Canis lupus familiaris: one gene and its partner. The protein of the gene in region 2 interacts with the protein of the main gene of each other region in a pairwise test. Links are inferred from orthologs where the notes say so. Each region holds a gene or a part of one and is shown on either strand. Other genes may lie near its edges. The genes, in order: MAZ and BPTF.

Region 1 (4,537 bases), on a different chromosome or scaffold from region 2:
GAAGCCTATTGGGGGGGGGGGGGGGTGGATTGGGATGGGGGGATGGGGGGTCAGCCAGGCGGAGACCCCAGAGACGGGGTGGTTCTCCTAGGCCGGGGACGCCCTCCTCAGATGGCCCTGTCCTCCTCCCACCACATCCTTGGTAGCCTGGGGCCAACTACTCTCTTGGGGCTGGTGGAACATCGCCCCTCCCTAAGCTTGGGGCCTGGGTGAGTGGTGTCAGCTTCTCAGCCTTGGTGTCCACAGAACCTATTTTCTGTGGCTAGGGGGACCTCTCCCGGGGTGACAGGCCACTGATTTCTAGCCACTCGAAGAGTTGACCCTCAGCAGAGACGGCTGTGTCCCCTCCCTCCAGGGCCCCATACGGTCTCATTCCAATTGCTCAGTCAATCTGTGAAGCTGTATAAAAGCAGCTTTCTGCTACTAGGGCAGGGTGCGAGCTTGTTAATCCCCTGCCAGCATACTCCACTTGCCCCAGAAGCCAAAGAGCACACCATTGTGGATGCACAGCTGAAACCCTGCCTTCCAACCCTTGGGAACTGGCTCTCTTGACTGCTCCTTGCTCCTTTCCCAAAGCAGCCGAATCCTGCTCCTCCTCCCCACCCCCAGAGGCCCACTCTTGCTAGTAGCTCATCTCCTCCAGTCAAGACCTCTTAGAACTTAATGAGGTTCGGTCGTCGGATGTTGTTCCCCTTGCTTCCTAAAAGGCTCTAATAGCCGTGAGCTCTTGGCTACAGCACCTTTAACCCACATCTGTGGAAGGGCCTCTGGCTTTGCCCCTGCCCTTTGTCCCTGGCCCTCCCAGCATCCCTCAGCATGTACCTTTGTTGCAGAGCTCACAGACATGGTGAGGGCCCTGGCTGTGCACCTTCATGTGGTCCGAAATATAAGCCGAGCTCAGCATCTTGCCACACACATGACATGGCACCTTCTCCTCGTGTCGTACTGTGTGCGCTCTCAGTCGATCCTTCGTAGCAAAAGCTGCCTCACATTTCTGGGGAGGGGGGAGGGGCGTGGGGGTTGTCAGGAGAGTTAGAGCTTCGGGGAGCAGGGAGAGGGGAACAAGAGGTTAAAGGAATCAGAGCCTTGGGGATCTTTGATCTGTAGGAAATGGGAGTGAGATGACAAGGTCTTGAAGAAGGGATGAGAAAATGGAGTGAAAAAGCAAAAAGAAAAGAGAGAAAAAGGGGGTCTGAGAGGCCGAGCTCAGACAGCTACAATGAGGATCAAAATCATGAAAACCGGGAAAGGAGGAGGCGGGCTTCCTACCTCACATTTGAAGGGCCGTTCTGTTGAGTGCACTTGTCTGACGTGACTGTTGAGGTGATCCGGCCTGAGAATACGTTGGGGTTGGGGTTAGGGCCCTGGAGTGTGGACGTGCTCCCAAATCTGCCTAACTTAGCGCAACAGGCCCTTCCAAAGACGCCCGCAATTCGCCCCGACCCGAGGCTCCGGAGTCCCGGTGTGGCAGGAAATCCCTCCCCCTGCCGCAGGGCGGGCTGCTCCTCCTCCCACGCGAAGCTTTCTTACAACCGGAGGACCCACCTCCTTGGCTAAGTACCACCCCCCGCTCCCTGGTAACCGGGAGAGGCTTTCCTCCCTCCTCCCGGGGAGTGGCTCCCGGTCCCCATCCTCAGAAACCGCCTCCCTCCCCGCCAGCCAAGGCCAGGCCACCTCCGTTGCCGTCCCTCCCTCCCCACCCGCCCAGTGGGCGGCCGAGGCCCCGTGCACACCGGGAAAAGCTCTTGCCACAGTGGGAGCAGTTGTAGGGCTTGTGCACAGCGCCGTCATGTGAGCGCACGTGGTAGCTCATGCGGTCCTTGCGCTTGAAGCGCTGCTGGCACACCGGGCACTGGTAGGGCTTCTCGTCCGAGTGCGACAGCTTGTGTCGGTTCAGATGGTAGACGTCGCGGAAGGCCTTGCCGCACATCTCACAGGCGTGGTTCTTCCGGATGCGCTTCCCCGAGGCGGTCGTGGTCACCACGCCACCCGCGGCCACGGCGGCCGCTCCGCCGCCCGCACCGGCTTCTCCCCCTCCCCCGCCGGCTCCGCTCAGCTGGGGCACGCTCAGGAGACTCAGGGGCACCATGGTGGGCATCTTCATAGCACCCGAGGGGACCCGGCCGGCCTTGGCTCCTGTGTGGATGGCCTCGTGCCTCCGGAGATTGTAGCCGTTCTTGAACTCCTTGGCGCACAGGGCACAGATGTAGGGCCCCTTGCTCTTTGTCTTCTTCTCCAAGGCAGATGCGACCGGGGCCACGGCGACCGTCGAGGTTGGGGCTACGACGGCGGTAGCCGCGGCTGCGGCGATAGTGGCGGCAGAGACAGGGGGCGCGGCCTCGGCCGCGGGCGCCGACACCGGCGGGGGCGGCGGCGGGGGCGCCGGCGGCTGCTTCAGAGCCGCTGTGTCCACTGTGGAGGCGGCGGCCGGGGCCGGGGGCGCAGCAGCGACGGCGGCGGCGGCAGCAGCTGCTGCGGCGGCGGCCGCGGCGGCGGCAGACTCCTGGGCGGCGGCGAGAACCGGGAGCAAGTCCACCTGGAGGGGCTCGGCCGCCGGGGGCTGGGGCGTGGGTGGGGGCGCCGGCGCGGCCTGCGAAGACAAGGCGCCGTGTGGGCCGCGGCCGCGGGTCGGCGCCCTCCCGGCCCGGCCCGCCACGGCCGGCCCCTACTCACCTGGAATGGACTCTGGGCGCAGCCCTGGGAGGCAAAGAAGCGGGACTGGAGCTCAGCCCCGACCTGCAGGGGGTTCTGGGCGTGACCCTGAGGTGGCGGGAAGGAGTTCATGAGGCCGCCCACCCCCCGGGAGTCCAGGCCCAGCACGGGGAAGGGGGGGGCCAGCAGCGTGCAAGGGAACACGGGGAACATGGCCTCGGCCACGGCGGGGCCCCCGGGGCTCAGCGGGGGCCGGGGGCGCGGGCCGCGCGGGGCCCGGGCTCGGGGCGCCGCCCCCGGCCGGCCGGGCTGGGCCGCGCCGAACGCATGGCCCGCGGGCCGCCCCGCCGCCCGCGCACCCCGGCCGGCGGGAGGGAGGGAAGGAGGGCGCCTGGCGGGCCGCGGAGCGCGGCGGCGACGGCGGCGGCGACGCCCCCTGGGTGGGGGCGGGAGGCCCCGCGGGGCCGGGGGCCGGGGGCCGGGGGCGGGGGGCGGGGGCCCGGGCGGCGGCGGCGGCGGCGGCGGCGGCGGCGGTTGGAGCCTGGCGGGGCGGGGTGGGGGGAGCGAGGGAGCAGCCTCGGCCCCCGCCGCGCGCGCGCCCAGCCGGCGCCTCGGGGAGGGCGGGGGAGGGCGCGAGGGAGGGAGGGGGACAGCTGCGCGCGCACCGGGCGCGCGGAGGGGGGGTGGGACGGGAGGGAGGGCGGGCGGGAGGGGGTGTGGGAAGGGGGGGTGGGGGGGCGGGGGGAGGGGGTTGTTACCTGGAAGATGAAGCTGCTCCAGTTGCCGGGATCCATGGCGGAGGGAGGGAGGGAGGTGGCTCGCGCTCACCCTGGGGCGGGAGGAGGAGGAGGCGGCAGTGGGGGAGGGGGAACCCAGGGAGGAGGCGCGCGGGGCGAGCGGGAGGGGGGAAGGAGGAGGAGGGTGGGGGGAGCGGAGCACACTGCGCGCGGGGAGGGCGGGCGGGGGGCGCGAGGACACACAAGAGGCTGGAGCGGGCGCGAGCGCGAGCGCGCGCGAGGCCAGCGGGAGGGGGGAGGTACGAGAGGGACTCTGGCGGGAGGAGGGACGGGGGAGCCACCCAGCAGCCGGAGTCGCCCCAAGCGCGAGACCCCTGAGACGGCCGCTGATTGGCTGACGATGGCGCAGGTGGTGGGCGCGCGGGAGACAGGGCGGCTTCTCTCTTCCCCCCCCTTCAAAGATTCCACCCCCCCTCCTCCCTTCTCCAGCGGCCGTTATTTCGCGCGCACGCGCATAAAACCGCTGTCGTTGCTGAGCGGGAGAACAGGGGAGCGCGCGCCGGGGGTACGGATGGGGCGGGGCTAAACTCGAAGCGCGCGCCCGCCTAACGGTCGCCGTCCGCGGGCTTTCGCGTTACTTTTTTGTTTCCTTTCGGCCACCGTCGTTTCCCCCTCCCCACGCCAGCGGTTTATTTACAATCCTACCCCGCTTCGTTCCTGCCAGCTTTTCCCAAAGATGGCGCCCGAAGAAGTTATGCCGAGGAGCTTGTGGCCCAACCCAAGGGCAGTTATACCCCCTGGCCCCGCCCCCACAGTCCCAAGAATCAGGCTGAAACACCGGAGTAAAAATTGTATTTACACGACACGCAATTATATAAGGATTAAAAAAAAAATGACAGAGGAAAGGAGCTGGCAGTCAGGAGGGGCCGCTGCGCTGGCACGCGGCGAGACCCAGGATGTTCGCCTGCAACACAGGAGGGAAAGGGAGAGGGGCATTAAAGCTGGGTGCGGGGCACAGGCTGGGGAAGGGAGGGGGCTAAGCGGTGGGCTCACCTTCAGGAATGATTCCATCTGTTTCCCGGATATGCCCTCCACGTGTTCCAGGTCCTCCACCTGGCAGGACGGCACAGCAGCAGCGATGGGAAGGG
Region 2 (3,807 bases):
TTTCTAAGATCCTTTCCCAAAATGAAACTACATGATCTTACAACTGCCAACACTATGTACTTATGACTCATCCCCAAAGCTTAATGCCCAGAAAATTTTAAATTAAGACTATTTCTGGGTTTTAAAAAATCCCTAAGGAATCTCAGAGACCTCTCCTCACATAAATAACAGAGAACTCCAAAACAAATGTTTATCATGCAAATAAATTATTTTAGGAAGATTTCCACATTATGATGAACTCGGTGTGATTCACAGGCATGTTTCCTATGTCTTATGTTTCTATGAATTACCTAATAGAAATAAAATACAAACATTCCAGAAAGTGGACTATCCAAGTCTCTTATTCTCATTCCCAAGGCAAACACATGGCAATAACTCAGAAAGTTAAACCACAAAACCAACTATATTTGACATGTTTCTTCTGTCTTGAGGAAAGTAAAACTCAATTTCATTTTAAAGATTTAGATCTTTTCAAGTCTCTTAACATTTTCCCCTAAAGTTTTACCCTAAGTAAACTTGAGTACCTCCCAGCCAGCCAAATTCAAGATTCTCTGTTATCTTATTTCCATTACTAACCTGGCTTATTAAATTTCTGCTTCCCTCTTATTATCTCATTTTTTTTCTGTAAAAAATGAGATATGCTTACTCAAAAATGCTTTTAAGACTTTCTCCCTTCCCCAAATACATTTTAAAGTACATACCTCCAAGTGATACCAAAGGTTGGTCTAGGAGAAGGATAAGGCCATATGTCCAAGGCAGGTTTTGCATTGTAATTAAAATAAGGGACTTCTCGGATTCCTCCTTTCCTGGCCAACTTTTTTAAGTCATCATTAGGTAAAACAAATATGCTCTTCTTGCTGCTCTTGGTGACAAACTTTCTATACGATGGCAGAGCTGTACCTGAACGAGTCTTCTTGGGTCTTGAAAATTTCATGAGTTTCACTTTATCTCTTGTGGAATACTCTTTGCTCACGGTCATAGATGTCACTAGAGTGCCCCCTGCAGTGGTCAGCGAATCTGTCACTGTTGTGGTGACCACAGTTTTGCTCTGCTCCTTCACAGAGATGATGTCCACACTGCTGCCTGTGGAGGGTGTGGATAGCTTTGTGACTGTTGTAGTGGTGGTTGTGACAGTGGACTTGGCACAATTTTCTGTGGAAGAGACCACAGTCTGCTTATCCCCTTTTGCTACTTTGATTACAGTTTTTGATTCTGTGGCCACCGTGGATGTCATGGTGGTGACTTCTGTGATAACTGTTTTTCTCTTAGACTCTCCGTTGATATTTTCATCTCTGTTGGTGGGCAGACCATTTTCATCAACGAAATCATTACTGAGGTTAGATTCCTCTCCAGAAGTAATAGGTGAGGGAGTAACTTTCTTAACTTCTGAGGTTTCAATTTCCATATCTTCTACCTGATTTGTTGAACTGTTTTCTGGACAAGACAGTGGAGGCATGGTCTCAGACTCTTTGGTTGATGGCAGGGTGTCTAGGCCATCTTGGTAGTCGCATGCAGCATCTGAAGATCTCAGTAAACGTGATTTTGTTTCCAAGTTGTTTTTTTCATTAAAATCTTCCATGATGACATCGCCATTCATGAATGGCTTTACAGCAGATTCTTTAACAGTCAATGACTTAATATCATTTTCAGGAATTATTTTATTTATATTATTAAGCTTTGATTCAAGATCACCACTTGCTACTTTACTCGCAGAGATTTCTTTCAAGGATTCCCCTTTTAAATATGTTTTGGGTTTATTATCTTTTCCATTTATTTGATAAGTACTTGCTTTCTGTCCTTTCTTTTCAGACTCTCTATTTTCATTATTCTTTCTGTCAGTGCTACTTTTTAGATTGATTTGATCAATACATTTATTAACTGATCTCTCCTCTAATTTCTGTTCTTGACTTGGCTTCCTACCATTTGCTTCAGTTACCTTACCCTGTGGTCTCTTATAGTTGCTAGTGGACTTATCTGGAACAAACTCACGTTTCAATGGTTCCAAGCCTTCAATACCTTGTTCTTGAGTTACAAATTGCTCAGAAAGACTTTCATTGCTATTCTGAACAATCATATCTTCTTCACTGCTGTCCTGAATAGACATAGTATCAGAACTATTTTCCAAAGTGCTGTTATATTCAGAGATACATCCTAGTTTTCCTTCAAAGTCTACTGCTTTTGACAGAGATGGGGGATCTCTATCATCAGTACTTTTAGGTACTGATGGAAGTGAAGGGCTCTGGGAAGGAGAAACAATGGTGTCATTATCCTCCTGTATGAGTGTTTTTTTGTTCTTATAGATCAAAGTACCAATTCCATCTGCACTGGCTAGTTTGGAGTCATCAATGAGAAAGTCACTTCCTCTTGTTTTAACCTTATTAAGTTCCTGGCCTTGACTGGTAGGTTGAGAGAGACTCTCATTTATGTCATTTCCAACAGAATTCTGTTTCTGACAGTTTGTCTCTGGGCTCTGAATGGAGATGTCATCTAACATTTGCTCTTTTGGATAAAGTCTGTTTGTTGTATGATCAGGATCATTGATTCTAAGAATTGAGGAATCGCTTTGTGAACATCCTCGAATCACATCTTCAGTTTTACCATTACTTGTGTTAGGGCTTTGTTCTTGTCTAAGCGAGTCACTTTGACACCCTTCTTTTGCTTTTGTTATTACTGATGATTCAGAAAGGCTTTTCAAAGAACTTGTACACGTCTTCCCTATACCCTTAATTCCACCCTCCAACTTCATTTTCTCAAGGCGCTGTTTTTCTTCCAGTGTAAACTGTTTAACTCTCCTTTCAAGAAGTCCATCTAGTTTGGATGATTTAATTTTCTTTTTATAACTAGTCCTTAGATGGAAGCCCTCACTGACATTGACCACATCTACTTGAGAACCTTCCTGACAGTTTATATGCGGCTCTGTTTTCACATCATCATCTATCTCCATTGGTTCTTCCTTAAAGGGTTTCTCATTGTCAGAATCTAAAATTTCTTGTACATCTGTGAAACAAACACATTTATGTAAGTGCTAACTTTTAGTCTCAAATGTGGAATTCACAATATTTTTATTTTAAAAACCACCAATGTTTATTTTCATTTCACTCACGGGGCTTCAGTGTAAATATACATATTTGAAAGCTCCTGATACATGATTAAGATAGGTCAATGGACAGGGCTAAACTTTATAAAAGGTTAAAAAACAGACATTTTGTAAATATTTAAATACTCTGATTCTTAGTATCTGAAGTTGGAATGTTAAAAGAAAAATTACTTAGCATGTGACAGTTACCCCATACTCCAGTACCTTCATGGAAAATTTTATGTAAGATATTTCATAGTCATAAAATATCTTAAGGCTTATACATTATCTAGCTTACCTAGTTTTTAAAGAATGACTTTTCACAAAAGACAGTATAAGTTCCTCAGAAGGCTGGACACAGAGTTATTAGCTCATGACCTGGGATTCCACTACTAGGTCTTTACCCAAGAGGGATGAAAACATATGTCTACATAAGAACTTGTACAAGGATGTCCTTATCAGTATTCATAATAGCCAAAAAGTAGAAACAACCCAAAAGTCCATCAATTGATGAATGGATAAACAAAATGTGGCACGTCCATACAATGGACTATTATTCAGAACTAAAAAGGAATGATAAAATGCTGACATATGCTATAACATGGGTGAATCCTGAAAACATTACACCAAGTCACAAAAGACCATGTATTACGTGATTCCATTCATACAGAATATCCAAAATAGGGCCAATCCATAGAGACAGTAAGTAGACTAGTAGGCTGGGGGGATTT

Evidence for each region.
Region 1: the proteins of BPTF (region 2) and MAZ interact in a two-hybrid assay, tested with the Homo sapiens proteins (2 studies listed by BioGRID). The link is inferred for Canis lupus familiaris from reciprocal best matches to the Homo sapiens genes BPTF and MAZ.

What each region holds. Positions count from the first base shown.
Region 1 is NC_049227.1:18,029,538-18,034,074, reverse strand, and holds the start of MAZ (myc-associated zinc finger protein), read right to left. Parts: upstream 2,907-4,537; 5' UTR 2,866-2,906; coding exon 2,674-2,865; intron 2,591-2,673; coding exon 1,734-2,590; intron 1,334-1,733; coding exon 1,270-1,333; intron 995-1,269; coding exon 823-994; exon of another isoform or gene 92-822; intron 6-91; coding exon 1-5. Other genes in the region: kinesin-like protein KIF22, read right to left, coding at 4,306-4,353, 4,443-4,502. UniProt on the Homo sapiens protein: Transcriptional regulator, potentially with dual roles in transcription initiation and termination.
Region 2 is NC_049230.1:14,279,848-14,283,654, reverse strand, and holds part of BPTF (nucleosome-remodeling factor subunit BPTF), read right to left. Parts: intron 2,998-3,807; coding exon 702-2,997; intron 1-701. UniProt on the Homo sapiens protein: Regulatory subunit of the ATP-dependent NURF-1 and NURF-5 ISWI chromatin remodeling complexes, which form ordered nucleosome arrays on chromatin and facilitate access to DNA during DNA-templated processes such as DNA replication, transcription, and repair.